Sus scrofa: one gene and its partners. The protein of the gene in region 4 interacts with the protein of the main gene of each other region in a biochemical or structural test. Links are inferred from orthologs where the notes say so. Each region holds a gene or a part of one and is shown on either strand. Other genes may lie near its edges.

The links.
Region 1: the proteins of RNF14 (region 4) and UBE2E2 form a complex in vitro, tested with the Homo sapiens proteins (2 studies listed by BioGRID). The link is inferred for Sus scrofa from reciprocal best matches to the Homo sapiens genes RNF14 and UBE2E2.
Region 2: the proteins of RNF14 (region 4) and ubiquitin-conjugating enzyme E2 E1 form a complex in vitro, tested with the Homo sapiens proteins (3 studies listed by BioGRID, with this or other methods). The link is inferred for Sus scrofa from reciprocal best matches to the Homo sapiens genes RNF14 and UBE2E1.
Region 3: the proteins of RNF14 (region 4) and UBE2E3 form a complex in vitro, tested with the Homo sapiens proteins (2 studies listed by BioGRID). The link is inferred for Sus scrofa from reciprocal best matches to the Homo sapiens genes RNF14 and UBE2E3.

The regions. Positions count from the first base shown.
Region 1 is NC_010455.5:9,995,255-10,003,696, reverse strand, and holds the start of UBE2E2 (ubiquitin-conjugating enzyme E2 E2), read right to left. Parts: upstream 5,526-8,442; 5' UTR 5,371-5,525; intron 1-5,370.
Region 2 is NC_010455.5:10,679,793-10,686,819, reverse strand, and holds the end of ubiquitin-conjugating enzyme E2 E1, read right to left. Parts: intron 6,923-7,027; coding exon 6,790-6,922; intron 4,938-6,789; coding exon 4,790-4,937; intron 3,796-4,789; coding exon 3,698-3,795; 3' UTR 3,001-3,697; downstream 1-3,000. Other genes in the region: NKIRAS1 (NF-kappa-B inhibitor-interacting Ras-like protein 1), read left to right, coding at 1-69. UniProt on the Homo sapiens protein: Accepts ubiquitin from the E1 complex and catalyzes its covalent attachment to other proteins. Catalyzes the covalent attachment of ISG15 to other proteins. Mediates the selective degradation of short-lived and abnormal proteins.
Region 3 is NC_010457.5:86,551,960-86,559,744, forward strand, and holds part of UBE2E3 (ubiquitin-conjugating enzyme E2 E3), read left to right. Parts: intron 1-4,454; coding exon 4,455-4,587; intron 4,588-7,425; coding exon 7,426-7,573; intron 7,574-7,785. UniProt on the Homo sapiens protein: Accepts ubiquitin from the E1 complex and catalyzes its covalent attachment to other proteins. In vitro catalyzes 'Lys-11'- and 'Lys-48'-, as well as 'Lys-63'-linked polyubiquitination.
Region 4 is NC_010444.4:143,583,285-143,591,069, reverse strand, and holds part of RNF14 (E3 ubiquitin-protein ligase RNF14), read right to left. Parts: intron 6,183-7,785; coding exon 5,655-6,182; intron 4,798-5,654; coding exon 4,569-4,797; intron 1,254-4,568; coding exon 1,081-1,253; intron 1-1,080. UniProt on the Homo sapiens protein: E3 ubiquitin-protein ligase that plays a key role in the RNF14-RNF25 translation quality control pathway, a pathway that takes place when a ribosome has stalled during translation, and which promotes ubiquitination and degradation of translation factors on stalled ribosomes.

The DNA of each region.
Region 1 (8,442 bases), on a different chromosome or scaffold from region 4:
AAATCCAAAGTAGTATATCCAAACAATGGAATATAATTCAGCCATATAAAGGAATGCAGCATCTACATGCAACAACATGGATGAACTGTGAAAGCATTATGCTAAGTGAAAGAAGACAGTCACAAAGGACTACAGACTGTATGATTCCATTCATATGAGACATCTAGAACAGGCAAATCCACAGAGACAGAAAAGTCAGTAAGTGATTGCCAGGGGCTGGGAGTGGAGGAAGAACCTAAAAGGACTGCTAATAGGTACAGTGTTTCCTTTGGGGGTGAGGAAATTGTTCATTAAATTAAATTAAATAATGGTGATGTTGTACAACTCTAAATACTCTGAAAACTACTGAGTTACACATTTTAAAAGAGTGGATTTTATAATATGTGAATTACATGTCAATAAAGCTGTTACCAAAAAAAAAAAAAAAAAAAAAAAAATTGAGGGCCTGCTCTCCATCAAGCACTATGCTAGGCCCTTTGGTCCCACAAGCACAAGAGATCTGACCTAGTGGGTAATCCAGCTTGCAAATGCTGGAGCTGAGGTTAGTAAAAACAGTCACAGGAACAGAGAAATGAAGGAGCCTTTTGCATTATTTTGAAACATTACACAGATACATCCTCCAGACTAGGCTAAGGATAAAATCCTCTAAACCAATCAATTGCTTTAAGTAACCTTTGTGGTAATAGAAAAACACAGATGTCTCCATGATTCTAAATAAAAACTGAACCTTACAAAGGCACCTGCACTGATCCGGCAATATACCAAGCAACCATTTTCACAGGAGGTGAAGACTGTATGGAGACAATGAAGGATGCTTTCGTTCCCCCACCCACAATCTGGATGAAATATCCCTCAAGGCTTTCAAATTTGCTCTGAGTTCATGTTCTGCAAGCAACTCTAACTACCAATTCAATTTTCTCAATACCTTGATACACAGGCAGCTGCTATAACCTAGACAACATGCCCCAACATTCCACTCCTCTCTTCTCAACTGTCATTCTATCATCATCAATTTCTGAGTTTGATCACTATAAATATATCTCTATGACCTGACTAGCTTAGCATGTACTGACAAATCCAAAGCCAAACTGACAAAACCAATGCCCAGCTTGTTACCCCATAACCACTTGAGATGGTACAAATGCCTTCTCTGAAAAACAAAACTACCTTTAAGAAGTGACATTAGGAGTTCCCATCGTGGCACAGCGGAAATGAACCATGAGGTTGTGGGTTTGATCCCTGGCCTCGATCAGTGGGTCAGGGATCCAGCATTGCCATGAGCTATGGTGTAGGTCGCAGATGCAGTTCAGATCTGGTGTTGCTGTGGCTGTGGCGTAGGCTGGCAGCTACAGCTCCGATTAGACCCCTAGCCTGGGAACCTCCATATGCCGTGGGTGTGGACCTATAAAGACAAAAAAAAAAGAGGTGACATTAACAACACAAAATATACCTTTAAAAATCATATATAAATGGGAAAAATTCCTTTTGAAAAAGATATTATATTACTCTTAATCAAATTAAGGCCTGAGGAGTTCCCATCGTGGCTCAGTGGTAACAAACCTGACCAGGATCCATGAGGAAGTGGTTAGATCCCTGGCCTCGCTCAGTGGGTTAAGGATTTGGCGTTGCTCTGAGTCATGATGTAGGTCAAAAATGAGGCTCGGATCCAGAGTTGCTGTGGCTGTGGTGTAGGCCAGCAGCTGCAGCTCTGATTCAACCAACCCCCAGCCTAGAACTTCCATATGCCTCTGGTGCGGCCCTAGAAAAGCAAAAAAAAAAAAATCAAGACCTGAAATAAAACTGTATTTGATAGATCTAAAATAAGAATTAATATGAAAAAGAAAGATACCTCAAATAAAGCACTGTTTTTAATTATTATAATTAGTCCAAATGTATAGCTAGCTGACAATGATTAAAATTCATCATCACCAAAAATTTAACTTGCAGCTTGCTCTAAACCAGTTATTTCATAATACAAACCGTCATGGGATTGAAATTTTTATGGTTAAGACAAACCAAAAAGCACTGCAAGAGAACTGAAGGCATGGTAAGCACAGAGGAGTGAAGAGTGAATAGAAAATACTGAATGCCTTCAATAAGATATCACACAAACACTCCACCAACCCCCAACAGTCCCCTCCCCCACCCTCTTGCCAAACAAAAATAAGTCTGCCCAAAGCAGCTCTGAAACATGTGGGGAAAAGTGACTGCTTTCCCACCTATGCAGTAAATGGAGAGCATGAGTCTCCAGAGCTGTGGCATCTTTTACAAGCACTGAAGTCACCTCACAGAATACTGAAATTTTATATCAGTATGTTTCACATGTAGCTCAACAATCTTAATATAATCCTTGTTTTTTTCTATTTCTATTTCATTTAAACTCTCATTCTTGGATTTAGTAATTTTTTTCAGCTTACTTCTCTCAGTTAAAATATATCAGAACTTAAAACCCTCTAAATATGTATATAAGAGCATGTTAGCTCTTATTCTCAGGGAAAGGCCCTCAGATACAGCAAAATACTGCTAGCAATATTTTGAGAAATGTGAAATGAGTGATAAATCATTTTATATATCTTAAAACAGAAGCAATCCATTATGTGACAAATATACAGAAACCTAAAGGAAATAAAATTCTTTTTACTGAAGCTCCAGCTTCAGTTTAATAAACTATGCCTAGAATTTCAGTTGTATATTACATTAGTTACAAAGCTACACACATTCTTCTTAATACTCTTATTTATGTGTATTTACACAATATCTAATAATGCCATGAGTATATAAAATTACTTAAAAGACTACTCAGGGATATAAGCTGAGCCATAATCTGAAATCTAAATTTTATAAACTGCTCCAGAATATCAGAAGTCTAAAGAATAAATAGTTCACTAGAGAACTATTAAAAATACCCAAATAGATGTATAATTTCTACAGTTTCACAATAAAGAAAAAAATATTATTTCCACTTTTGACCTAAGATACCTTATTTCATCCAAACCTACAGATGATAAATTCCCCTGGGGCCACTAGTAACCGCTATAAAAACTTTTAGAAACAAAGTTCTCATATCTTTTTCAAATATCAAGAGTAAGGGGAATTTCTATTGGTTTTGTTTTTTGAATGCCTGATTACAGGAAAAGCATGGGGAAAAAGTATTACATTACTTAGGTGACAACTAATTTTATGAAGAAAAACAGTCTATAAGCATTTAATTAGTTATAAGACTGTGTACTTACAAGGTGTTCTCTTTAAATTACAAATGAATAAAAGCTTTGAAATAAAACTCTTATCTTCTAAATCAGCACTTTAATTTTATCTTTTAAGATTAATTCCTAAATAGCTAATTTGATTCAATTATCTAATCTAGAGGGAAGATAAACTTGAACCCCACAGTTATAAACCTAAGCTTCCATGACAATTTCAAAGATATTAACATACTGAAATTTATATTTTTACTTTGTACTCAGAGTAAAACTTGCTTTCTAAACATAAAATAGTAAAATAGACCTCACTCAAATACGTGTTAAATTAAGAGTTTAGATATGGTCCATTCTTCAACACAAAAATTACCTAAACATGTATTAGCTATGTACTCTATGTTGTAATTACAGTCTTGGAAATTAGTAACATATGAAATGAAGCTCCCACTGTTCCATAAAACTGAACTGATTTAGTTAATAATATTACTGAAAACATAAAAACAACTTGTCACTCCATAAATCCGGATTACTATCCAGATAAGCCTTATAATGTACCTCATGATATAAAACTGCAAAAGCAAGTGTTCATTTGAGCTTTTACAACAGGAAATCGTTTAACTCTGTCATCTGATTTCTTGCTATTTGTCTTCCCACTCATGTTTCTAAACTTTCCTAAAACGTAAAATAAAACAATTTAGGTTACACAGATACCTAGCAATATCCAGCTTGTACTTACTTGCAAAGATATTTATGCACGAAATAATTATGGAACACTCAAGTTTTGAGAAAAAAGTGCTATATGTCCTGGGGGAGGGGTGCACCTTTCAATAATGGGGTGTGACATTATATGAAAACCCTCCCTCATCAGCATCAGCCCACATACAAAACTCTAAAGAGCCAAGGAGCATCCAAGGTGAGAAAACACAAATATTTAGATTTCGAAGGCCCAGACAGAACTACCGCATATTCAGGTACATACTTTTTTAAGAATTGGGGATTTTAAAAAACTAAGCAGAACTTAAATATCTTTCTGAAAGACTAGATACTCTTAAGGTAAATCCTAGCATTTCCTTTTGAACTTTAAAATATTTTAGTGGACTCTCAAGAATAAACAATTCAAAAAGATGAATCTTGAAAACATGCAAATCGGTGTAACAGCCACCGAGCACAGGATGAGGTCTTTCTAAAGCGGCCTTAATTTCCTTAAGGGAAGATGGATTGGACATTTCTGGTTGGTCGTGGGAAAAAAAAAAAAGCCACAAGAAGCTACGCTTTATCTTCATTAGAAATGGTAAAGGGCAAAAGGATCAAAACATTAAGAGAGGAGAGAGGGAGGAGGGGGAGATGATAGGGTCGAGGGGAAGGGGGAGCCAGTTTCGAACCAGGCCAGCGGGGGCTGCAGAGAAAAGATCGGAGAAAAATGGGCTTGGGTTCCAAACTGTGACAAGCGCTGGGCTTCACAAAAGACCCAGACAACACACACTCCACACCAGGGCAGACACAAACACACCCCGCAAGGTCTCCAGGCGAGCCACGGGGGTGCGGCGGCGCGAGGGAACCGGACCCGGCACTCGCCGAGAGGCACCATGTGCAGCAATTATGCAATTAGGGAAAATAGCAAAAGATCAAGCCGGGCACTTTGCACCGTGACATTTATCCTGTACTTTTGCTAAGACTTAGTTCCAGGATGCGGCTGGGAGAGAGAAGGGGCCAGGAGGGTGGCGAGGGATGGGGAACTGAGAACGGAAGGGGGTAGAAGATGGGCAGGGAGGGAAGAGGCAGAGGGAGGTGGATGGGGAGGAGGGGGAGGGGTGGAAAGGGCGAGAAACAGGGGCAGGAGGCTCGCGGGAGGGGGCGCGGGGACTGGGCTCGGGGGAAGGGAAGCGGGGCGCGAGCGACGTCGGCAGAGCCCTGCGGCGCCGAGTGGAGCGGGGGCCGGGGCGGGGGCCCGGCGCGGCCCGGCGAGTACCTGAGGGAGGGGCGTCCGCGCAGGTCGCGGGCTCGAGACCCAGCCAGGGAAGAGGGGGCTGCGGAGGAGCGGGGGAAGGGGCGCCGAGGAGGCCCCGGGGACGGGCTGTCCCCGCGGACCGTCCAGTCACCGAACCCAGACCCACGCACAGCGCACCGCACGGCCACGCCTGTCCGCGCCGCGCCCGTGCCCGCCTGGACTCACCCTCGGCGCCGCCGCCGCCGCCCCGGCCGTTCCAGCTCCGGGTCCCGAGGCTGCTGCCCGCGGCTGTTGCTGTGGTCGCCCCTGAGTCCAGGAAAGTGAAGCCACCGCCTCCGGGAGCTGCCGCCGCCCGGCCGTCCGCGCGCGCGCCCGTGACTGCGCGTGCCCGCGTGCCCGCCCGGAGAGACCGCGAGAGCGCGAGCCCCACGTCGGCCCGCCGCGCCGCGCGCCTCTCCGCCCCTCCTCCTCGCGCGCGCGGCCGCGAGGGGGCGGGAGCGCGCACGGCGGGTACCCCCGCGGCCGGGCAGGGGAGCCGGGAGGCGGTGCAGAAAAGTGAAGTGACAGCCGAGTCCCGCGAGCGGCGGCGGGCGAGGGGCGTCCCACGGAGAAGGTGCAGCCGGGACCCAGAGAGACGAGGGAAACAGGCTGCGGGGCCGACTGGAGGGAGGGACGCGGGGACCTTGATGGGCACGCGCGTTAAAGGGAAATGCTGGCTGGGGGTGGGGCGGGGGGGGCTGGGATTTGCTCCAAGGAGAAGCAGGGGCTGGGTTTTATCCCCGGCCGCTGCGGCCCTGGCTTCGCACTACCTTCAAAGCTTCTCGAAGTGGCTAAGGACTAACTCTGTTGCCAAAGGCGTGGAGTCCACTTGCGGCCAGGATGGACAACTTCTGCCTTGGACTCCCTGGGGCCCAGAATGTGAGAGCAAAGATCTCCAGGCCGTTCTGCCCTGGGATACTGAGGGGAGCAAGTGGGTGGGGGAGTAGCACTCTCAGAGCAAGTGGGATGCTGCTGTTAGGTCCCCGTTGAAGGGTATGGGAACAGGAGCAGTGCTGCGGGTGACTCGAGGAAATGTTAGGTTCCCCTATAATCTTAACCCCAAATAACCTATGTCTCCTATGCAAATTCAGCTTCCACAAAATTTCCCCCACCTCCACCTGCTCCTAAACGTCTATACAAAGACCCTGGATCTGTCACTGTATGTGGACAAAATGTCCTGCCCTGCAGGGCTGATGACGGCCTCGTCAGGTTGTTGATGACAGCCAGGTCCAGAGCAACTCAAGCATCCATAAGGCCCCAGGAGACAGGAGAAAGTCAAGATGCATACATATGTCTAGAGCTGGACATCCTTTTTCAAATACCGTCTTTAAAGAATTGACTATTACTTTACAGCATCCTCGAAAATTGCTCCTAGCCTCCACAAGTCACCATTGAGCAAAACGTGGGTGTGTTCTTAGATATCAACTCTATGTATCACTCAAGGACATCAGCAGGCCCTGTTACCCTTAAACTCTAAACTATGTATTGGAGGATTAGTAATTACCATATCCTGGGCCTATCATCAATTGTATAGCCACCTATATCTCTCACACAGTGCAATAGGAAAAGATGACATAAAATGCATCAGATTTTTAAATATTTAGAATGTGACCAAAATAAAACATTTCATAGACTGACTTAAATGTGTATGTATTTATTTTACCCCATGTTATTTTTGGTTATTAATATTCTCATTTTCTTTATTTTTTCCTGGCGGCACCCACAGCATGCAGAAGTTCCTAGGCCGGGGACTGAACCCACACCACAGCAGCAACCTAAGCCGCTGCAGTGATAATGCAGGATCCTTAACCCACTACTCCCCAAGGGAACTCTAGTAATCTCATATTCTTGATTGTGTTTCAGTATGCTTTGCAACTGTCTGGTGAGGATAGACGGCAGAATCCCCATTTCCCAGGTCTCTATGCTTTTCTCCAAATTAATTACTCTTCTGTGTACTCTTGGGTATATATCCTGTTGGTTTCTGTTTGTTCATAGGGCATGTTTTATAGTAAAGTACTCTTCTATGCAGAAAGTATCCAAGTTGCCTTTTTCAGTCCTGATCATTGGCAGCTGCAGGGCCAGAGATGGAGCAAGGACAACTTTAAACTTTATAAAAGGAGTAGAAGACGGAGTTCCCATCGTGGCGCAGTGGAAACAAATCCAACTAGGGACCATGAGGTTGCTGGTTCAATCCCTGGCCTCGCTAAGTGGGTTAAGGATCCGGCATTGCCATGAGCTGTGGTGTAGGTTGCAGATGCGGCTCGGATCTGATGTTGCTATGGCTGTGGCATAGTCCTGCAGCTGCAGCTCTGGTTCAACCCCTAGACTGGGAACTTCTGTATGTCACACCTGCGGCCCTAACAAAAAAATTTTTTTAAAAAGAGTTACCTTTTTCATTGATTCAAGGAATATTTATTGAGTACCAGGCACTGTCCTAGGTATTTGGAATACTACATTGAATAAAAGAGAAAAATCCCTGTCCTCACAGAGTTTTCGATCCTTGACTCCTTGTTTTACACACTATATCTAACTCCTCAGGAAATTCTCTTGACTTTGCCTTTGAAAATATGTCCTAAAAGTATCCACTTCTTCCCATCTCCCTCCCCACAGCTATTACCCTGTTCCAAGCCACCATCATCATTCAAGAATAGCCTCTTACCTGATCTTTCTACTTCCCCTTTCCCTTCCCCACACATCCCAATTCCTTCCCTGCAAACAACAGTCTAAGTGATCCTTTAAAACATGGGTTAATATAGGTCTCTCCTCTGTTCAAAACTTTAGGGGCTTCCTGGAGTTCCCATCGTGGCACAGTGGTTAACAAATCCGACTAGGAATCATGAGGTTGCGGGTTCAATCCCTGGCCTTGCTCACTGGGTTAAGGATCTGGCGCTGCCATGAGCTGTGGTGTAGGTTGCAGATGCGACTTGGATCCCACGTTGCTATGCCTCTGGTGTAGGCCGGTGGCTACAGCTCCGATTAGACTCCTAGCCTGGGAACCTCCATGTGCCGAGGGAGCGACCCAAGAAATGGCAAAAAGACCAAAAAAAAAAACAAAAAAAAGGGGGGCTTCCTACCCTAGAGTAACAGCTAAAGATCTTACAGTGGCCACATGGCCCTACATGATCTGCCTGTCACCCCCAGCCAGGACCCCTCTGACCTCATGTTGCACGACCTTACCCCACCCTTTTCTCCTTCCAACCACAGTGGCTTTCTTGCTCACATGGAACACACCCAGCCTTTCTCATCCTCAAGACATTG
Region 2 (7,027 bases), on a different chromosome or scaffold from region 4:
CCCCAGAGCAAATCAAGCTTCCCTCTGCCTGGGAGGAAGAACAAAGGGAACTCCAGCTCTGAGAACTAAAAAGTGGAATGTCACAATCATTTGCTGAATAGTGACTGCCTTTAGGTATCTGTGAACAAACATATTTAAAACAGGACATGTCTACCTTTGGTCTTTAGAAAATCCCTAGGGAATTAATTTAATGCACTTTAGCTAATTAAGTTATTATTGCCTGATATGAAATACTATACTAGCATTCTCATTGTTTGAAACTTGTCCCTGAAACCAGCACCTTTGTTACATTTATGTTGAACTTGTCAAAAGAATAAAGTTTGAGTGGTATGCAAATATACTTGAGTAGCTCTCTTTAACCTGTTTCAGAAGCTGTCATTTTGTATAACTAACTGTGGAAACTTAGCTCCAATACAGCTTTGTTTTTTACAAGTTCACGAATTTTTTTTTTTTGGGGGGGGGGTCTTTTTGTCTTTTTAGGGCCACATCTGCAGCTTATGGAGGTTCCCAGGCTAGGGGGTCTAATTGGAGCTAAAGCTGCTGGCCTATGCCACAGCCACAGCAAAACGGGATCTGAGCCACATCTCTGACCTATACCACAGCTCATGTCAATGCCGGGTCTTAACCCACTGAGCAAGGCCAGGAATCGAACCCACATCCTCATGGATGCTAGCTGGGTTTGTTAACTGCTGAGCCACGACAGGAACGCCAAGTTCACTAATAATCTAACATGTAGGATTATATATTGACATAGATCATGAACAGTAAACAATGTGGACACTAAGTTAAGCTAAATTGTATCTGGTAGAGATCTTGATAAACAATTCAGCTTTGTTCAAATTACATGTAGCATGAATTGAGTAGTAGGTTTCTTTTAGGAACCCACTAAACACTTAAGGACAGTTAAGCATCCATTTTCCACAAGACATACTAACACCTTCTGGAAGATTTTTTTTCCTGCCTGTGTCTGAAGCATGTGCAAATTCCTGGGCCAGTGATCGAACTTGCACTGTAGCAGTGACAACACTGGATCCTTAACCTGCTGTACCACAGAGAACTCCTGGAAAAATTTTCAGGTTAGATATCTGAGTTTGTGCTACGGTTCTCTGAAGATTTTGGCAGGATTTGAGTAATGGGCTAACTGTATTTAGCAGGTTGATAATGTTTTAACTAATTTTAAAAGTAGGATGCAAGCTACTTAGCAGTTTCAACTGTGGAAGCAGTTAACTATTGGTTTTAAATATAAAATATGAGATAAACTGTCCCACCAAGAAAGGTTAAAAAAAATCTGGTAAATAGTAGTATCTCAAATACTTTTTATGGCAAGGTTCAGTAAATTTAAACTCAATTGGCTCAGTTCAGTGAGTTCAAGCCAAGAACCACTTGCATATAAAAGATATAAAACTTACATAGTGGCAGTACTAGTTGATTTATAGTAATTTAAAATTTGTTTCTCTTGTGGCTCAGCTGGTTAAGGATCTGGTGGTGTTACTGCAGTGGCTTGGGTTTGATCCCTGGCCTAAGAACATCCCCATGCCGAGGGTGTGACCACAAAATAAAATTTCTCATCACAGGTACATTTTTTAGTTAAAAAAAAAAAAAGTCACTCAGAAGATATGGTTAAGTCATCCCCTGCTTTCACCCAGTTACTGAGTATTTATCTTTTAGGTTTTTAACATGGATAGTTTTACAATTATAAAAATAATAGACTAGATCTTGCAGTCTGCTCCTCTACTGAATGCAGCCTAGACCATATTCTTTTTATTAATTAATTTTAGGGCCCCACCTGAAGCATATGGAGGTTTCCAGGCTAGGGGTCAAATTGGAGCTGTAGCCACCAGTCACAGCAACACCAGATCCAAGCCACATCTGTGACCTACACCACAGCGACAGCAACGCCAGATCTGAGCCAGGTCTTCAACCTACACCACAGCTCATGGAACACTGGGTCCTTAACCCAGTGAGTGAGGCCAGGGATCGAAGTTGTGTCCTCACAGATGCTAGTCAGATTCATTTCCACTGAGCCACGACGGGAATGCCCATATTCTATTTTTTTGCTTTTTAGGGCTGCACCGGCATCATATGGAGGTTCCCAGGTAGGAGTCTCATCAGAGCTACAAGCTGCCAGCCTACACCACAGCCACAGCAAGGCCAGACCCGAGTCACGTCTGTGACCTACACCACAGCTCACCTCATGGCCAGATCCTTAACCCACTGAGCAAGGCCAGGGATCTAACCTGCAACCTCACGGTTCCTGGTCGGATTCGTTTCTGCTGCACCATGACGGCAACTCCTCCCATATTCTTTTTAAATGCTCAGTGAATGTGTATGCACCCTCACACTGGCCTGGGGTGAGTGGACAGGCATATACATGGAGCTACTGCCTGAATGCCCTCTGATGGGGCTGTAGTACTTCTCCAAGAGAACTCACTTCCTGTGTACTACCACCACAGCATCTGCACACTGGAAAATGCTTTTAAAAAGATGCAATAGAACTCTGTCTTGAAAGACAGTGAGTTAGATTATTAAACTTCTTCTAAGACACCTCAAAATCTACCCTGCAGGGCTACTGGATAAACTAAGAGTACCAATCCTAACACAGGTGCTGGATAAACAGTACCAGAGTATTCAGTCTGCATTACCTCTCTATTGCTTTAGTAGCAAAGACCTATCAAGAAGAAAAACTACAGGAGTTCCCGTTGTGGTGCAGTGATAACGGACCCGACTAGTATCCATGAGGATGCAGGTTCCATCCCTGGCCTTGCTCAGTGGGTTAAGGATCCGGCATTGCAGTGAGCTGCGGTAGGTTGAAGATGCAGCTTGGATCTGGCCTTGCTGTGGCTGTGGTGCAGGATGGCGCTATAGCTCTGATTTGACCCCTAACCTGGTAACTTCCATGTGTTGCAGATGTGGCCATAAAAAGCAAAAAAAAAAAAAAAAAAAAAAAAAAAAAGAAAAAGAAAGTACAAAGTAAGAAATAGAAAGTAAAAGAAGACAGTGTTAGGTGGTCGTTTTAATATTGTTTATTAGCACAGTAACAAATGCAGACTTAAGTAGTCCACAACATATAACCAATCCACTGGGCAACTCCTAGTCCACGCCTTACAGTTAACAGCTTAAGGTATTTTACTACAGGTTTTACAGGTCCTGATTCAAACCTCTACCTTTTCACAATAAAGTAGATTGGCATATAAAATAAAATATATAACTACTCATTTCCTACGTGGTGTCTTAGAGTTACACGTCCATTTTCTATATATGAGATGACAGTCTCTAAAAGCTGTTAAATATCAACGTTCCCTTACAAGAAGGGAAAACAGATTCCAATTTTTTTTAAACAAAAACGTGTGTAGTCTTGAAGGACTTTACATAAATGGCCCTGTGTGTGTAACCTGTAAAAAATTAAGCTGTTTTTAAATTTACAGACTACAAGCAACTGAACCCAAATATCTATTCTCTGTATTGCATTTCAGCTAATATTGCAGAACTAATGACAGTTTTAAAAGTTGCTATTACCAATTCTGTCTACTGTAGCAAGATACCTTAAGTTACAACAAAATCTTAGGAAATAAAACTGAATAATATCTGTTATAGAAATACCCTACTCTTTACCAACTCCCACCCTCCCCCACCCCTTCAAAATCATAAGCAGCTCTCTGTGACAGACAAATAATGTAAAGAATTGTGAAAACCCAATTTATGTAGCGTATCTCTTGGTCCACTGTCTGGCCATTCTGTCATGTTCTGCTCTGTTGGTCATATACTGAGTGGCAATACTTCCCACCAAGGGGTCGGCTGGAAGAAAAGAATGTAGATTACTTTGAAGAAAGAGCAAGAACACTTTAAGTTTTAGCAAATAAGTTAGCGACATGCTCGGGAAGAAATGTAAAAGCAGTTGTGATCAAACCACTCCATTCTGGATAGTTTTCCTTCTAGACTTTAAAAACCAGCATGTGGGGAGAAAAAAGCACACAAAAAAGCCCAGCATGTGTGCAGGGGGCTATCCTAATCCAAACAGAGTGTACACGCTTCAGCACTGGTCTGGGTTCATCTCCTTCCTCACTCCATTTCGTGTCCAACAATGATTCCCCAACCCGCACCCCCACACTGGAGGGTTTTGCTCTTACATGTTAGGGTACGGAATGTTCGAGGCCCTAGACTACGGTGAACATCAGCTGTATTCACGTGACCTTTTGCGAATGGCATCAATTATGACACTGAATACTGCGATGTCCTCAAGGCTATTGCAATACAACACTAGTTACCTCTATGCTATTTGCCTAGAAAGGGCCAAACTTTCACTAAGTTTAGTATTTCTCTGAAACTCAACAGAATTTTAATAATTTATATTTGGTTTATCTAGGGGAAAAAGTTTTAGTAAGAGGAAATTAAGCCTCCCTGCCACTCTGCCCCCCGCCCCCACCTCCCACTGTCTAAGTTTATAGCAGAGAAAAAATCTCAGAACTGACCGCCACTTTAGTGAGCAGCTATCGACTCACAGGCAGTGGTGAGGCTACTGGGGCAGGTAACTCAACATTTCCAAGTATGCGGTTGTTTTAAGAGAACTCTTTGGGAAACAGGCAAAAGAGGGGGGAGGAGAGTGAAAGACTGAAAATGTTAAAACCTAACATTATAGGTCTTATATTAAGTCCTCAGCTTAGACTGAACTCTGGATTACACATTCCTTTGAAAACCAACCAGGTTTTGTCCTTTGAAAGCTTGTACAAAAATAAAATCTGAACTTTTTCTTGAGGAGGAGTAAAATAAGGTAAAGAATTATTAACCTTACCAGGATTACAGTCTGTAAGAAGTGAGCAGATAGAAAGAAGAACTTTAGAGATGGTGAGGGCTGGGCTCCAATTATCTTTCAATATGTCCAAGCAAATAACTCCTTGACTGTTAATATTACAGTGATAGATTCTTGTCCGAAATGTAACCTAAAATATAAGGCACTGTTAAATAAAATTTAAACAGCCAGCAACGTAACTTTTTACTAAATTACCTTTTCAGTTTAAATTGCCCTGATTAAAACTTCTAAAGAAATACACGCTTAATTTTTAAAAAAGTAAACACAGTTAACAGTTTAACTAATTAAGGCTGATAAGAAACAAGTTAGAGACTTTTTTCCTTTTTTTTCTTTTTAGGGCTGCACCTGCGTGGCATATGGAAGTTCTCAGGCTAGGGGTTGAATCAGAGCTGTGGCCACTGCCTACACCACAGCCACAGCAACGTGGGATCTGAGCCATGTCTTGAGAGCTACAGCTCGAGGCAATGCCGGATCCCTGGCCCACTAAAGCAAGGCCAGAGATTGAACCTGCATCCTTATGGATACTAGCAGGGTTTGTTTCTGCTGAGCCACAACAGAGACTATTAAAATTGAGATTACCAAGTGTGCATTGATAACACTCTCAGGGATTTTCAATTTCATTTAAAAATAATATCCATCAACAAAAGGCAAGGTAACTTCAGTATTTCTGGATTTCATCTTTAGCGGTTTTAATGTTTTAAATATCTTCCTAATGCTTCCAGTTTGAATAGCTAATTGTTTGCTGACCTCTAGTGTTAGCTGGTAGTACTACATGGCTCCAAAGCAAGCTTTAAAGTCATAATCCAAAAGAAGAACAACCAGTGGGTCCATAAAGACAAAGTGCTTAGCAAACAATGATCACATACCCTAAAAGCTGAAATATCCACTTGAAGAGGTGTTTCTTCTTTTTCTCACCTTTAAATCAGACCATGCAGCTATCTTGCCTGACTCAAAGCACAGAATTCACTCTACTGGCATCTCCACAGGTGAGGAACCAGAAATGGTAAGGACCACAGACAGCAATGGGCAAATCAACATAAAGGCACATGAGCCTGGGTTATTTCGTATGGTCTTCCAACTGTTATTTGTGATACACTGAATCATTCCAAAGTAAAAGTAACCTAAAACATTACCACTTTTTAAAAAATGGCAGACTTTTAATCACTTCTTGCAGCTGCCACTGCACCTTTATTCAGGGGTACCCTATCCCCAAGAGGAGGTTTTCCTTCTGACTGTGAGAATCACAGTGTGCTGCAGAAGAGTGACTGGAGCAGTCCCCTCCTAACCTAGATGAGAAACTCAAAGCTGGGTAAGGATTTCATGAGACAGGAAAATGATGAGGAACAGAATCCAAGGCTTTGTCTGCCAGGAGTTTCTGATTCTCTATTTTAGTGCATGGATATTCTGACAACATTTTCATCTGTTCAAAAAATGTCTTTGCAAAGGAAAGGGGATTATTTGTGGGTTGCTGACTATGAGCAGGATTTTAAACAAAGCACTTAGTCTTAATGGTCTCTGCCAAATGAGGCAAAGTCAACCCAAAGAAGCGTTTTGTGTATGTTCAAATGTATTTAGAGATTTGTCAAGAGATAAGAGAACTTGGGAGTTCCTGTCGTGGCTCATGGGTAATGAACCCAACTAAAATCCATGAGGATGCCAGTGTAATCCCTGCCCTTGCTCAGTAGGTTAAGGATCCAGCATTGCCGTGACCTGTGGTGTAAGTTGCAGACACAGCTTGGATCTGGCGTTGCTGTGACAGTGGCGTAGGCTGGCAGCTGCAGCTCCAATTAGACCCCTAGCCTGGGAACCTCCATTTGCTGCAAATGCAGCCCTAAAACAACAAAAATAAGTAAATAAATGAATGAATGAATGAGAGAGATAACAGAATTCTACTTTTTTGTGATTAAAAACAATTTTAAAAGCTTCAATTATCTTTCATGGGAATATGTAAATTTTAGCATAAATCATGGGGAATTTCTTACCTTTGGAGGCTTGAAGGGATACTCTGGTGTAAAAGTGATATCAAGGAAGAATACACCACCCTCATACACGGACCCTGGAGGCCCTAGAATGGTTGATCTCCATTCATAGATGTTATCGCCTTTGGGGCCAGCACTGTGAAATAATATATCAGAAGATGAGCAGGTGGTGGCACATCCCAATTTTTACAGTGTTATCCCCCAAAGAGGAAAAGTTTGCCTCTCCCTTTTTGTTTAATGT
Region 3 (7,785 bases), on a different chromosome or scaffold from region 4:
GGGGGTTAGGGTCTCAGGTGGAAGCAAGAAGGCTATTGCATTTAACACCAGAGGATGCTGTTGTCTTCCACTGAGGTTGGGCCAATAGGAGGAGGGAGAAGTGGTAGAATTTGGGGTATGTTTTGAAGATAAAACCTGTGGAATTTGCTGATATACAGTATGTTAGATACAGTGCTATCAAGGGGGAGGTTTAGGCTTTCCCCCTAAGGAACTGAAAGTTGCCATTCACTGAAGTAGGGAAACTTGAAAGAGAAATTGGAACATCAGGGAGTCAATTTGGGAAATATTAAACTTTTTAGAATTACTGGATTCAAAGTATTAGATTTCAGAATAAAGACTGTTTAGTCAGCATTTAGATATATAGCTCTGGAATTCAGGGTGGAATTTTAGGCTGGAGATAGATTTGGGGATTAAGAGTTTATTGGCACTGTAGGAGATCAACAAAAGACTGGATGTAGGTAGAAAGGAGAGGTTTAAGGGCTGAGCTCTGGAAGAGTGGCAGTATTTAGAGGTTAGAGAGATAAGGAACAGAATTGTTGATTGAGAAAGAGGGGCCAGGAAATTTAGGAGAAAAACTGGTAAGTATGTTATTCTAGCAACAAAGCAGAGAAAGTATATCAAGGAGAAAGAAGTGGCCAGCTGTGTCAGATGTTGCTGTGGCCTAGTCAGATATGATGAAGATTGAGAAATGAACATTGGGTCTAGTGATGAGATCATTGGTGACCTTGGATGAGAGGAGTTTCTATGGAGTGGTGAGGTGTAAAAACCTGTTAAGGTAATTGAGCAGAGAACTGGAAGGGGTAAAGGAATCAAGGTTTTTGTTTTATAATAAGGATTGGGGAAATGGATTGTAGTATTTATTCATGTGGGTATGATTCACCAGAGAGGGCGAAATAAATGATCCAGGATAGAGCAGAATTACTGGAGTGTTGTCCTTTTGGAAAAGAGAGATTGAAAATGAGTGAAAAAAAAAATTGAATAGCAGCATGAGAACTAGTGAAAAGCACCTATCTTGAGATTGTCAGCAATTAGGACCCATTTTCTACTCAGCTGTGAAGCCTCAGTGGCTGGTCAACTACTAATCTATAAAATGTTGTATTTTGAATTAGGGTGGAGTCAGTAGTGCTAACCCCACCCCTCATGTCTTGATTAGCAGGTGGTACCTTTCTGAGAAAGATATGGGGCTCTTATTTGAGACAAAGAAGCTAACAAGGGCTAGATTTTAGCCCTAACTCACCTTAGGCTAATTGTGCTTAAAACACATCCATAAGCTGCAGCCCTACTCTGTCTACTCCAGGACAGTTATAATAACCATATCTTTAGTGTGTTGTAGCAAAGTAGCATAAATGAGAAGAAAGCAAATTTAAGAACACAATAGTTTGGTTTGGAATCCCAGTTCTTCATCAGCTAGCAGAAGGAATTTAAAATGGATCACTTTTTGTGAATTGGTTTCTTCAACTGTAAAGGGGGTGGTTGGCTTCAACTACGTGTTTTTCATGCCGAAATTTTGTGATTCATTAAAATATAGTATTCCCCCACATCGCTATCCATCTATCTGAGGCCTAGCATGGTTTTGCTTAAGAACCAAAGAATATCACTGAGGAAATTATTTCTTTAGAGAGTAGCTCTACTTGGGTTCCTACCCAAGTAAGTATTTGCAAAATTTGACTAGAGATTAAATTACATATAGTAGCACTTGAAATTATAAGAGGAAATATAAATATAGCAAAGGTCACTGAGGTTAGTAGAGATTTATTCAGACATTGTCCAGATTCTCTCTGAGGCATTTGTAGCTTTGGGACATGTGGGGAGTTATTTAACTTTCTGAACTTTAGTTACCTCATCTAAAAATAGGAATATAATAATAGTACCTACTTTATAGATTTGTAAGGAGAATTAAATGAGATATGCACTATGATGCTTTGAAAAATGTTTGGCTTATTATGGAGTAATGTTATTAGCTACTGTTATTATTATTAATGTGTGACACATATAGTTTAGAAATGTTTTTAGTAAAGCAGTTGTGCTATAAAAGTCTCTTAAACTATAATTTAGTTTTATAATGATTACTTTACATCATCAGGGAAGAATTAACTTAGAAGAGGAAATGCCATTGAATCAGGTTAAACTTTCTTTTTTTGAAGAAAATTGGCACTTCATTTTGTATGTTTTTAGTTACAGTGCGGATTCCCTTAGGGAGTATACCTGATTCTCAAATGATGGCAGAACAATGAACCACTGTTGTAATTAGTTCCAGTTGCTGTATATGCTTAAAATTTATAAAATAGTATTTTTCAAGTTTCTTTTCCCTAAGTAGGCTGTGATAGTAAAATTTTCTTGTTCATATATATGCATTAAAGATAGGTTTTTGAAACATTTTGATTTTACTATCAAAGTTTTTACACTCTTTTTCTATGACCTGTTTTCAGGGCACAGATTTGATTATTGATAGCATTGCTTACTTGATCTTTACAGTCTACAGTGTATGTTTTATAGAATTAATAAGATGTGGTTAAATCATTTAACCTATACCTGAATGTCCTATTGTAATTAATGCAGTTGCATTATCAATTCTTTTTTTTTTTTTTTTTTTTTTTTGGTCTTTTTTTGCCTTTTCTAGGGCCGCTCCTGTGGCACATGGAGGTTCCCAGGCTAGGGGTTGAATCGGAGCTGTAGTCACCGGCCTACGCCAGAGCCACAGCAATGCGGGATCCTAGCCGTGTCTGCAACCTCATGGTTCCTAGTCGGATTCGTTAACCACTGCGCCACAACGGGAACTCCTGCATTATCAATTCTGATATGCACTTATTTTAAACTAAACATGCAGATCATTTCTAAACTGATAGGTCACTTAAGAAAAGCTTTATATATACCGTAGTTCAGAAAAACAAGTTAATCTGTGATGTAAAATTGAGGGAAAAATGGAAATCTGTAATGTACATTTGAAGAGGGTCTAAGGAATATTAGATGTGTCTTACAAACAACTGAATTTGGATTTAATTTGAATTATCTCATTGTATATTATAAATTAAATGATAGTTTTGAACACAGTGTAATGTACTTGGAATTTGGTACTAGCTTGAACAACATTCACTAAAAGGAACCACAGCTCTTTGAAGAAATGGCTGATTCAGGGGTGGGAACGTGGAACATATTTATGCCAGAAAATAAGGAAGTGTTCCAAAAAACGATATGGGGTCATTTTGAAAGTATTTCCACTGGCCAAATATGGGGCAGTTTGAACATCAAAATAATTAAATGCAGTAAGAATTCTAAATCATTAGGGGAAAAAAAATGGAACTCATGAAACTTCATCTGTAAAACACATTTTTATACAAACAGGAAAAGAGAGGGCTCAAGGGCCAGCTGGTAAATATGGAGGAATGCTGAAGTTGGAAAATGATGATTTTATCACTATCATGATGAAGTTTAGTTCAACCAAGAATCGCAAATTGATGTTAAGTCCGGGGAATAAATTTGGTGAAGACCAGGGTATTTGCATGGTCTTAAAGTGTCCAAAGGTTGCTTATTGGTTGCAGAGGAAAGATACCAAGTAAGAGGTAGGAGAATGGGACAGCATTTGATCTGGGTAATGAAAATTAACATCACCATTGTACCTCTGGATGTGACACCTTGAGAACATAGCATCACTTATGTACTCTTCTAGCCAGGAATGCACTCTCTGCATCTAATCATGAGGAAATATCAGACAGGTTCACAATGATGAGCATTCCATTAAAAGAACTGCATTCTTCAAAAATGTTGATATTACAAAAGGCAAAGTAAGACTGAAAGGCTCTCTCTATTAAAGGGGACTAAAGACACAGGAAGGGCATAGACGATCAATACCAAGACTGGAATCATGTATCTGAAGGAAAACTAAAAATCTTTTGGGGCATTATTGGTCAGTTGACAAAATTATTTTGCAGATTATAGATATCATATAGATTGTACTTTTACTGAAATTATGGCTATATTGCAGTTGTATTATAGGTTGTAGAAAATGCCCACTGAAATATTTATGGGGAAAGGGCCATGATATATTCAGCTTACTCTCAAATGGCTCAGAAAAAAAACACTTTTTCTGTGTGTCTGTGGGGTGTGTGTGCTTTGTGTGTGTGTGTGTGTGTATATGTTTGGTGGGGTGTATGTATTTTAGGAGGGGGAGAAGGAAGGGAGAGAGGGAGATGATAGAACAAATGGAGCACAATGCTAACAGAAGGAGAGTCTGGATAAAGTTAAACAGGTGTTCCTTGTTCTTGCTTTTCTGTAAGTTAGAAATATTTCCAAACATGTTTATATACATATGCGTGCACAAGTTAGTTGGGGCTTATTTTTTATATATTTACTGTTTATTCTAGATTGCTAATTTGCCTTTGATACTTAATTGGTTTAAGATATTAATATTCATTGCTCACAGATGTACACATTGATTTTTAATTTCTTTTAAATAGTGCTGGGCCTAAAGGAGATAACATTTATGAATGGAGATCGACTATACTTGGTCCACCAGGTTCTGTATATGAAGGTGGTGTATTTTTTCTGGATATCACATTTTCATCTGATTATCCATTTAAACCACCAAAGGTAAGAACCTGGAAGTGCATTTTTTAATGTTCATTCTTTTCCAAAATTAATTTATTCTAGAGTTAAATGTGTGGATGCAGTTATTTTTATTTGATTGTTTTTCATTTGGAAACGCTCATATAACCAGGAATGTTAAAACTAGAAGTAATTGATTTCTTTCACAAATAACTTTGTAATCAGCAAGAGTTTGTTAATTGTATGCCACTTAGTACATCAGTAAGCAGGTAAATTTTAGACTTATGAGAGAAAAAAATCCTGTGAACTTTGTGTAAGGAACCTATTGAGATAAAAAGTAAATCTGACCGCTTCTGGAAATAAGAATTAAAATAAATTTGTGCTGAATAGCCTATCTTTATAGATCAGAAAAAAACTAGAAAACTATAGCAAAGAAGAGGGAACTAATATTATTTAATAAACTAATTTTGTGCCCTCTGTAATGATGAATTAATGGGAATGAAGATGGCTGGGTTATTTATGCCTCCTTGTTGTCTCTGAATATGAACTGGGTGGATAAAGAGAGAATGTTTGAGCTGTGCCTTGTGATGACTGGCAATTAATTTTCAAGTATTAAACATAGTAATTATTTGATTAGCTTTCTCCTCTGACTTCCCCCTATAAAATGGTCAAGACAACAGTTAAAAACCACCGATATTAAGCCTGAGCATAATTAGAACCTTGTTATGTCAGTGTTATCAAGCCCTTAACTTTGATAAAATGTTTTTCTTTTCAACATAGTTCCTTATATTCCCTCTACTATTTAACATTTATGTAGTGATTTAATGCCTCCACTCAGGTGCATGTGTGTTGTGTTTGTGTGTAAAAATAAAGGGTTTATTTTGTTTTAAAAAAGAAGGCAGACCTTTTCTGTTTTGCTTTATTGAATAAGGTAACAACATTTCCACCTAGTGGTATTTACCTTAAATTGCAGACACCGAGGTTCCCTATCACCAAGAGGTATTTGCTCTTAAGTATAGCTATCACTATTTTTTGAGTGCTTTACTATGTGGTCCCATCAGAATCTAAGATCTTGAAATGACTGTCTTATTGCAAATTGTGTTCACATTCCAAATGACACATTCTAAATGCCAGTATATCACTATTCAGTTTGCATTCAGTGCTTAAATTAATTGTTATAGCCACCTTTTAAGAGCTCTGTGTAACTAGTATGTGCTATGTTAGAACAATTCTAGTCGTCCTTACTCTTGGGGATACATTCTGAGACCCCAGTGGATGCCTAAAACCACGCATAGTACCGAACCGTATTTAATGCCATTTTTCCTATGCGTAAATACCTATGATAAAGTTTAATTTATACATTAGGTGCAGTGAGAAATTAACAATAACTAATAATGAAGTAGAGCAATTATAACAATATACGGTAGTACAAGTTATGTGAATGTTACCTCTCTCCAAATACCTTATACAAAATTGAATGCCTTTTCCATTGTAACTAAGTATTTGTGGCTGAAGCTTTTACAGCTTCAGGTACAACAGCAAAGCTAGCACACATTTCTTTTTCATTTTTCACAATTTCACAGATAAAAGTCTTATTCTTACCATAGACCTTAGCTGCCTCAGTGTAGGATTTTTTCCCCCCTACCCTTAAGTTGAGAACTTTCACCTTTTTACTTAAAAATCAAGCACTTTACAGCTTCTTTTTGGAAGATTTGAATTGCCAGCATCACTACTCTTGGCTTTGGGGCCATTTTAAAATAAAGTACAGATTACTTGAACACCAGCCCTTCAGTAACACAGCAGGTGATCTGATAACTTAGCAGACTGAACAGGATTGGGCTGAACACCCAGGACGGTGCATGATTTCTTCGCACTACTCAAAACAGTGTACAACTTAAAATTTGTAAATTGTTTAATTATGGAATTTTGCCTTTAATATTTTTGAATCCCTGTTGACCTTGGGGGGCTAAACCAAACCTAAAACCACAGAAAGCAAACGTGTGATCTCTTTTTCCCCCTTCCCTGCTAGACCAGTGGTTTCTTTACCATTTTTAATTATGCACTCTTCTCAGAAATACACTTTTGAGGGCTTTAAATGTTTTCTTCCCAGACTCCGTGTGGGAGATCACAGTATATTGCCAGTTGAGAGGGATCTGATACTCTCTTTTTCTTTGCAACTCCAAATTAAGAATTAACCACCCGATTTATGTTGATTGTTTTGAAATTTTTGTTCCCATCATTTATTTTATTTTTTCACATTTCTCAAGGATTTAAGTTTCCTTTCTTCAGTGTCTTAAGACCTTACTTGTTTTATTTTATTGTCTTAGTCTAACAGGACAGAGAGCTATTTGTGGAAATGAAAGGCTGAGAAATAGAAGAGCCAGTGATATCACCAACCTTCCTCTAAATCCTTCTCCAGTATTTTCTGACACAGGGCAAGAAATTAGCTGAGTTGATGATTTTTTTTTTATTAAGAAACTAATGTAACTTGGTTTCATGTTAAAAAAAGAATTCTTCACCATTTTCTCTTAACTTTGGCACCAAAATGTTTCTGTTCTCCCTCACTTCTTTTCTTTACAGGAGTGTGTGTATGTATGCCCACACACAGACATAGAATTACTATCTCACTTATTTAAATTAAACAAACCAATAACTCTTTTTGGTTTAAAAACAAATATAGTTTTTGCTATACTGGGTAAAAACACAATTCTTTGAACTAAACAATTTTGTTATTACTTAAACCTAGTTAGTTTGAGCTCTTCAGTGAAATTACTTGCTATTTGCCATGATCTATGGTATATACCACTTCATTTTTGCTAGTGAGAGTTATGGTTTATAATGAAACTTTTATTTTCTTTCTTTCTTTTATGTCACTGCCCTTAGGTTACTTTCCGCACCAGAATCTATCACTGCAACATCAACAGTCAGGGAGTCATCTGCCTGGACATTCTTAAAGACAACTGGAGTCCTGCTTTGACTATTTCAAAAGTTTTGCTGTCGATTTGTTCACTTTTGACAGACTGCAACCCTGGTAAGCAGACTTTTATTAATACATACAATGAGGCTATAAAAACTGTGGATTTGAGAAGTAAATGCTGTTGGTAGAAAGATCAGCCTAAAACGTTTTTTGAGGAAACTATAAATGCCATTTCAATTAGAATAGACCAAAAGCTTCACAGTAGCTTTCTTTAGTTTGTGAATGATGTGCTATCCTGTAACTGTTTTCTCCCTGTTATTGATGGG
Region 4 (7,785 bases):
TACTAAAGCCTAATTCCTTTGCATTACAGGTGAAATACAGAAAATACACAGCAGGTGTCTCTACAACTAGAGACTTCGCAGAATCTCTTCTGATAAACAGAAGATACAAACCAAACATGTATAAGTGAAATGGAGTTACATTAACATTAAAATGTCTGCATTTAGGATGTAGGATTTTAAACTTTTTACGTAAATCTAAATGAGCATTTGGTACCAAGTTCCCCACGCTATCACAGAGCTGAGGTGTGTCAGAAGTGGTTAAACAGAAGGCCAGTTTCCTTAATGGAGTAACTGACCATCAGGATCAGCTCACATATAACGGCTTGGAGCAGGAGAATTAAACGCAAAAGACATTTGGGTTTTACTAAGAAGCAATAGATGTATCTGTCTATTTTGACTCAAGATGTCGCTCTTTCCTAAGCAGGTACTTGTTAAACATGTATGCTAAATCCAGGATAAATAGTTCTGAGAAATGAGGCTTGATTTTTTTTTTTTAATTAATTTTTTTTTTTTGGTCTTTTTGCCTTTTCTAGGGCTGCTCCTGCGGCATATGGAGGTTCCCAGGCGAGGGGTCGAATCAGAGCTGTAGCCGCCGGCCTTCGCCAGAGCCACAGCAACGCGGGATCCGACCCACACTACAGCTCACAGCCATGCCGGATCCTTAACCCACTGAGCAAGGCCAGGGACTGAACCCACAACCTCATGGTTCCTAGTCGGATAGGTGAACCACTGCGCCACAACGGGAACTCCTGATTTTTTTTTTTTTTTTAAATCGCACAGATGAATTCAGAGTTGGCTGCAGCTCTAGTGTGGCTCCTCACAACCCACTTGATTTTGAAGTGGATTTAATGCGAGCACCCCTGCCGCCGTGTGAAAGCACTTTGCACAGGGACGTCCACACACAGGTAAGGTCAATAACGACCCTGAGTAACAAATCTGCATCCGCCAGGTAAGGAGGCTTAACAAACACCCAACATGTGTCGTCTTCATTAGTCATAAAACTAAGTCCAAAGACTTCGCGAGGGAATCGTAACAGCCTGGCAAGGAGCTCTGCCTCCAAGTCTGCCCCCCAGACCGTACCTCTATGGGAGTCCCGCAGCACGGGCAGCTCTTGGAGTTCTTTTCTAGCCACTCCTTGCTCTCCATCTCTTCCAGGGCCTTCTGAATCACCCGCTTACCATACCTCTGCTCCAAAAACCTTTTATTGGTCTCATCTGCTTGCAGGTACTCATTTCGTAAGTCTATTAATTTTTCTAGAAAGTGAAATGGAAAATTAACTTTTATACAACTTTGTAATGCAGATTAAAAGCCATTAAAGACGGCCATGACCTTGGACCACTCAGCAATGCTAACCTGGGACTTTATCATAAGGAAGTGACCCAAAGTCAAGTCAGAGGCACAGGGGTGCATGTAACAACGGCAAACAAATTAAGTGTCTAGGGAATCATTATGCGTGAGGAAACTACTTAATGACAAAATATTTCGTTATTAAAACTTATAATTAGGATGATTATAACTCAAAATACTAGTTACAGGAGTTCCCATTGTGGCTCAGAGGAAACGAACCCAACTAGTATCCGGGAAAGGGCAGGTTCAATCCCTGGCCCTGCTCAGTGGGTTAGGGATCCGGCCGGCACTGCCGTGAGCCGCAGTGTAGCTGGCAGACACGGCTTGGATCTGGTGTTGCTGTGGCTGTGGCGTAGACAGGCAACTGCAGCTCCAATTTGACCCCTAGCCTGGGAATCTCCATATGCTGCAGGTGCGGCCCTAAAAACAAATAAATAAAATATTCCCGAGTGCCCGTCGCGGCTCAGTGGTTAACGAATTCAACTAAGAACCATGAGGTTGCAGGTTTGATCCCTGGCCTCACTCAGTGGGTTAAGGATCAGCGTTGCTGTGAACTGGGGTGTAGGTCAAAGATGAGGCTTGGGTCTGACGCTGCTGTGGCTCTGGCATAGGCTGGCGGCTACAACTCCGATTAGACCCCTAGCCTGGGCACTTCCATATGCCGCAGGCGCAGCCCTAGAAAAAGACAAAAATAAAACAAAATAAAATAAAACAAAACAAGATACTCATTAAGGAATCCAGGAGAAAAACCTATTTAGGTTGCAACTAGATAAAAATCACCCATGCACAAATGACAGAGAACAGAGAGGAATCTTCCAAGCAGAAAACCTGGACTTGGTAATAAGGGTGACAGAATAATAATCTTTTCCCTGAGATTGTGAGTTATTAATGTTGCTATGTGTGTGCAACTAGCGGTACACAGTCAAAGATTAACTTATGTGAATGACACAAAGGTTGAAACAGGCACCACTTGATAATAACAAGGCCTCCCAAGGCCAGCACCAGCACCTTTGGCTCAAGGGCAAAGACCAGCTGCGGACGACTTTATATTAAAACAGCCGGTGAAGAAAACGCACCACCCACAGGCACTGCAAAGGTCCTCCTGTCAAGCTGGCCCCTCAATACCCTTCAGTCGGGTTCCCACCGCTTCAGCACTTACCTCCAACCCAACAGGCAGCCTTTCCCCAAGCCTCACTGGCAGACAAAAGCTTTTGCTCACAATTCTATTACCTTAATGGCTCAACACAATGACTTAAAGACCTCTCTCAAGAATGTTCTAGCTAAGTTATTTATTAGTTTGCTTTCTCCATACAGTTTAGAGGCCCGTCTCCCTTTTCATGCAGCAAACATCCTCTGGGGCAGGTGCTACCTGCACTTTTCCTTCGGCTGAGAAGCCTTTCTCGGTGGCTTCATTCCCAGGCTCTATCACTGCGACGCAGATGCAGGAGACACGAATGTTTTTATCCTGCCATTTTTGAGCCCCTCCACTCATTCAAAGCGTTTTTGTGGTCCTAGACGTCTCAAGGACAAAAGGTATCACCGTGATGCTCTCAAAGAATAAAACAAGTAGTACATCACACATCTTCTGCGGTAACATCTAACACACAGAGCCGGAAAAGGAGATCTCTAACTGCGCCAGAGCCCCGCCGCTATCTGGGGTCTCCCCCACCCCCCGAGCACTGTTAAACCCCCGAACTGCACTGCAGCCCCTCAGGGACGAGGCTACAGAAGCGAAGCCCAGGCTTCTATTTCACGCCGCTGAGCTCTCCAGCCCCTCTGCCCGTAACCCTGAGGCTCTGCTCCAAGCACCTGCAAGTACCGTATTCACTCATTTCCCTTCCGGGGACTCTCTGGGAGATAATGACACTGCTAATAACTGGTGACTACAGCAACACCGACATGAATAGTTGCCACTTTGGGAGTTCCCGTCGTGGCGCAGTGGAAATGAATCCGACTAGGGACCATGAGGTTGCAGGTTCAATTCCTGGCCTTGCTCAGTGGGTTAAGGATCCGGCATTGCCGTGAGCTATGGTGTAGGTTGCAGACGTGGCTCGGATCCCACATTGCTGTGGCTGTGGTGTAAGCCGGCGGCTGTAGCTCTGATTTGACCCCTAGCCTGAGAACCTTCATGTGCCTCAGGTTCGGCCCCAAAAAAGCAAAAAAAAAAAAAAAAAAAGTTACCATTTTGCGTTTGACATGCATCAGCCCCTTCTCAAACTATGGTGAAGGACCAGTTTTTTCCTGCCACTATGTCAAGGACCAATACCTTTGCAAAACAGAATCAAATGAATAACTTGAAAAATGAGAGTATAGAGACAAAAAACCTAAGCCTAAATTTTTATCATATTTGACCGACATAAAATTACTCTGGGAAATCGCCATTACAGTTTCAAACCCTGACTCTCAATTTCTGCACTGGTCATGTCACAGGCCAGTGTAACAACCCTACCAAGTCTGAGTGGCACGACAACAGGTCACTTCGACCTCACAGTAACCTCATGAAGCAGCTATGGCCATCACCCCTGCTGGTCTGAGGAAGGCTAAGTCCCCAAAGTCGAGTTAAACTGGTGTCAAGGGCCTGACCTCTTCATCTTCATCCAGAGCAGAAGTGGCTAACAGGGTGCCCTCTCTGTGCCCACCTCCGCAGAGGGTGGCCTTCTGAAGCGCTGCGTTGGGGAAGATCCCGAGGCCTCCCTGGGCGCACGGAGAAAGCACGTGACGGCCGAGCACACGTGTGCACCGTGGAAACAGGGACCGCTGAGATGCTCCGTGCCTGCCTTCCAGGACGCACAGTACTCTATATGCACAGACACAAACTCCCTGGCCGCTCCGTCCCCGGCATGCGCCCCCGACGTGGCCTGTCGCCTCACCTCCTTCAAGCCTTCACTCAAACCACGCTGCCAGCGAGGCCTCGCTGGTGTTTCTCAATAAAATCCCAAGCCCCTTTCCCTTTGGACATTTCACCTCCTGCCCCTGGCTTATTTATTTTTCCCTCTTCAGTATTCACTGCCATCTAATATTCTTGCCTATTTTGTCTGCCTATCTCCCCCATGAGAAGGAAAATTCCACAAAGGGCATTTGGTCCCTGCTGTACCCCATCCCCAGAATCTAGGACAGTAGCTGACACAAAACCATCTGTTGAACAGACACTTCCAAACTCAAGGACTGAAGCGATAAGGCTGTTTGCACTGGGAGACTGAGTGCCCGCAGTCACGGCTCACCTGCAGTCACCTTACACGGAGAGACCCCATGGTAGGTCAATCTGCAGAGTGTACAGAAGGCGAAATTACAGCTGGAGCAGATGCCCATTGTGCAGCCAGGCTCCTGCATCACAGGCAGCTGGCAGCACGGGCGGGGGCAGTACACCACGTCTGCCATCAGGTCCAGGGTGGACTGGAGGAGAAGGCGGTCGTAGCGGGCGAATAACTCGGCGTCCACTAGCTCTTTGACCTGGAGGAAAACACTCAACGTCACAGGTCTGATGATGTCCCAACCAGCTCTGACCCTGAAGAGATCCTTAGGACGCTGGTATAAGCCAGATGCACGTAAATTAAAACCCTCTATCTCACCTCAAAATCAAGCCAAGGATGGGAAGTCCGTATCCTGACTGAGATGGGGGTTACATGCGTCTACACATCTGTCAAAACTAAGCAAACTGTACACTTTAAATGGGTATATTTACACCTTAATAAAGCTGAAATATATATATATATATATATATATATATACACACATATATTTTTTTTCTTTTCTTTTTTTTTTTGGCGGTACCGGTGGCATATGGAAGGTCCTGGGCCAGAGATTGAATCCAAGCTACAGGTTCAACCTACTCCACAGCTGTGGCAACACCAGCTCCTTAACTCACTGCACTGAGCCAGGGCCTGAACCCTTGCTCCCAGAGAGACACCGCTGGATCTTTACCCCACTGGGCCACAGCGGGAACTCTCAAGCAGGCTGTCGTTGCGTTTAAGTCTGCAAACATTTGGCTGTCCGTGCCCTCGGATCCAAACTCACACAAAACAAGGTAGTAGTGCCCCTACCTGGCAGATGGACAAAACAAATCACCAAAATGCCTTTGCTTTCTTAATGCTCGTCCCTGCCAGGGGCCTCCCATTCCGAAGCCAGCAGAGGCAGCGTCTACAGCTGTAGCTGTAGTGTAAGCTGGGAAGGAAGATGCAGCACGCCTGAGGAACACACGGGAAAAACAGCACGGGCTGGCCCCAGGCCCTACCAAGGACGGCGCTGAGAGGATGTCTCCCTTGGTGACAGAGACTGAGGGGGCAGCTGGCAGCACAGAGGAGAGTTACCTGACCAGGAGTGGCCACTGAAGGGCACTTGGGTTCTGGGCAGTTGAGGCACTGAACTTGGCCATCTCTGATCTGGATCTCAAAGTAGTCCTTGAGACAGGCTTTGCAGTACACATGCCTGCACTCCAAGAAGTACATGCATTCGCTCCCCAGCTTCTCACAGAAACAGATATTGCACAGGAACAATTTACTGTTAAAGCATTTTATCTGCTGAGCTTGATCAAAGTCCAAGATCTCCTGGATCAGACTGGACAAGGACTCCACATCCTGCACGGCTCTCTCGTCCACAGCTTCCTCTTGGTCTAGGTCAAAGGCAGCAGCTCCTCCGAAATCTAGCTCGGGGCTGGAAGAGGCCTGAGTCGCCCTTCTCTGCACTTTTTTCTGAGAACCCAGCCTGAGCTCGAAGGGAGAGACGATATCCAGGTAGGCCAAGGTCTCTTCCTTGAGAAACTGCATCCAGGCAAACAGGACCACGCTGCCGCGGTGCTCCTCCCACAGGTTGTCTAAGTGCTTGCAGAGAGCAGACAGCTAGGAGAGGACACGAGAACGCTGGTGAGCTTGGAAAGATGGTGGTGACGATGTGAACTCCTGACCTCCCCTGAAACCGTTTGAGGTTGGGCCTTTCCCCTTCCTAACACGACGTTTTTACTGCTGTGATAAAACTGTGCTGCAAAACCGCACCAGCGCTCTCAATGGAGCGCTTCTTAAAACTAGTTAGCAACACAAATTAGCACAGGAGAACACAAGGCCGGAAGCTAAAAGAAGTACCATGGGGAGTTCCCGTCGTGGGTCAGGGGACGCGGGTTCGATCCCTGGCCTCGCTCAGTGGGTTCAGGATCCGGCGGTGCCGTGAGCTGCGGTGTAGGTTGCAGCTACAGCTCTGATTTGCCCCTTAGCCCGGGAACTTCCATATGCCACAGGTGTGGGCCTAAAAAGCCAAAAATAAGTAAACAAGTAAGTAAATAAAGGACTATGAAAACAAGAGAAATGGCAAGACGCCACCAGATGCAGAATTCAGTTTACATCTGAGCCAATGAACTGGAGGACTTTTTCTGTTCTGTTTTTCTTCGCTTTAAGTATTGCTGTCTATTTCATGTAGGAAAAGGGATCTAGTTCTAAAGTGAACAATTTCTATTCTTCTGGCGTCCTGGCCCTGTAGATACCCTGCAATAATGATCGCAAACATACGGGTTTAAAAATGCCATCCCAGTTTTAAAATTAACTTTTTTAGTCCTGTGACGAAGCCAACTCACGGGAAAGCATCGCTAACAGAATCTAACCTCAGAGTCCTCATTCTTCGGACTGACAAACAGAGTTTCACTGAGCAACCGGGCTTGCCCCAGCCCTGGCTCACAGGCGACGGCAGACCCACAAACCTGGGCCTGATTACAAGCCCTCAACACGATCTGGCTGCGCCAGGGAAAGCTCAGGTTTCCTCAGTAACCAAAGTTGAAATTATTTCAACACTTCCCCCTTAAAACTGGTCTGTTCACTTCGAAAAGCAAATATAAGAAGCTCTTCCATTACGAATGTAAAATATCAGTAAGGAGAGCTCGGGAGTCATAAACAGCTTTTCTTTTCAGGTAAACATCCAAAAAATACGCCTTCCAGATGCAAATAAACGCGTACATTTAAATACCAAGTGAAATAGGTGCCCGTTCTCTCGTCCTCATGCTGTGCCAAGTCGTGCTGGTCACTAAAGCCCACACACGCACAAGCCTAAACCCACACTGACTAGTTCAGGATCGGACAGCGAAGGCTTCTCTACACTTGCATGAATGTGCTTATCCGATCAACCAGAAACTTGCTGGAATCTGTGAACTCTAATAAACACTCAAAGGGAGGCTGTGAGGGCTGCGGGCCACCGAGTCCCATGCAGAAGCCCTTCTCCTGCATCCTCTTTTCCTCTCTGGGCCCTTCTCAAAGGAGGCGTCTGGGATCGACACAAGCCCGAGGAACTAGGCAGGCAGAAAGAGAAGAGCAGGAGAGAGACCGTCGTGCACACATACTGGAAGAGAAATAACGAAAAGCACTAGAAAACGAAACCCACTGCTGTCTGCCAACCGAACCCAGTGAGAGACAGGTCCATGCCTCAACTTCACTATCCACAGGTGAAATTTACAACGCCAAG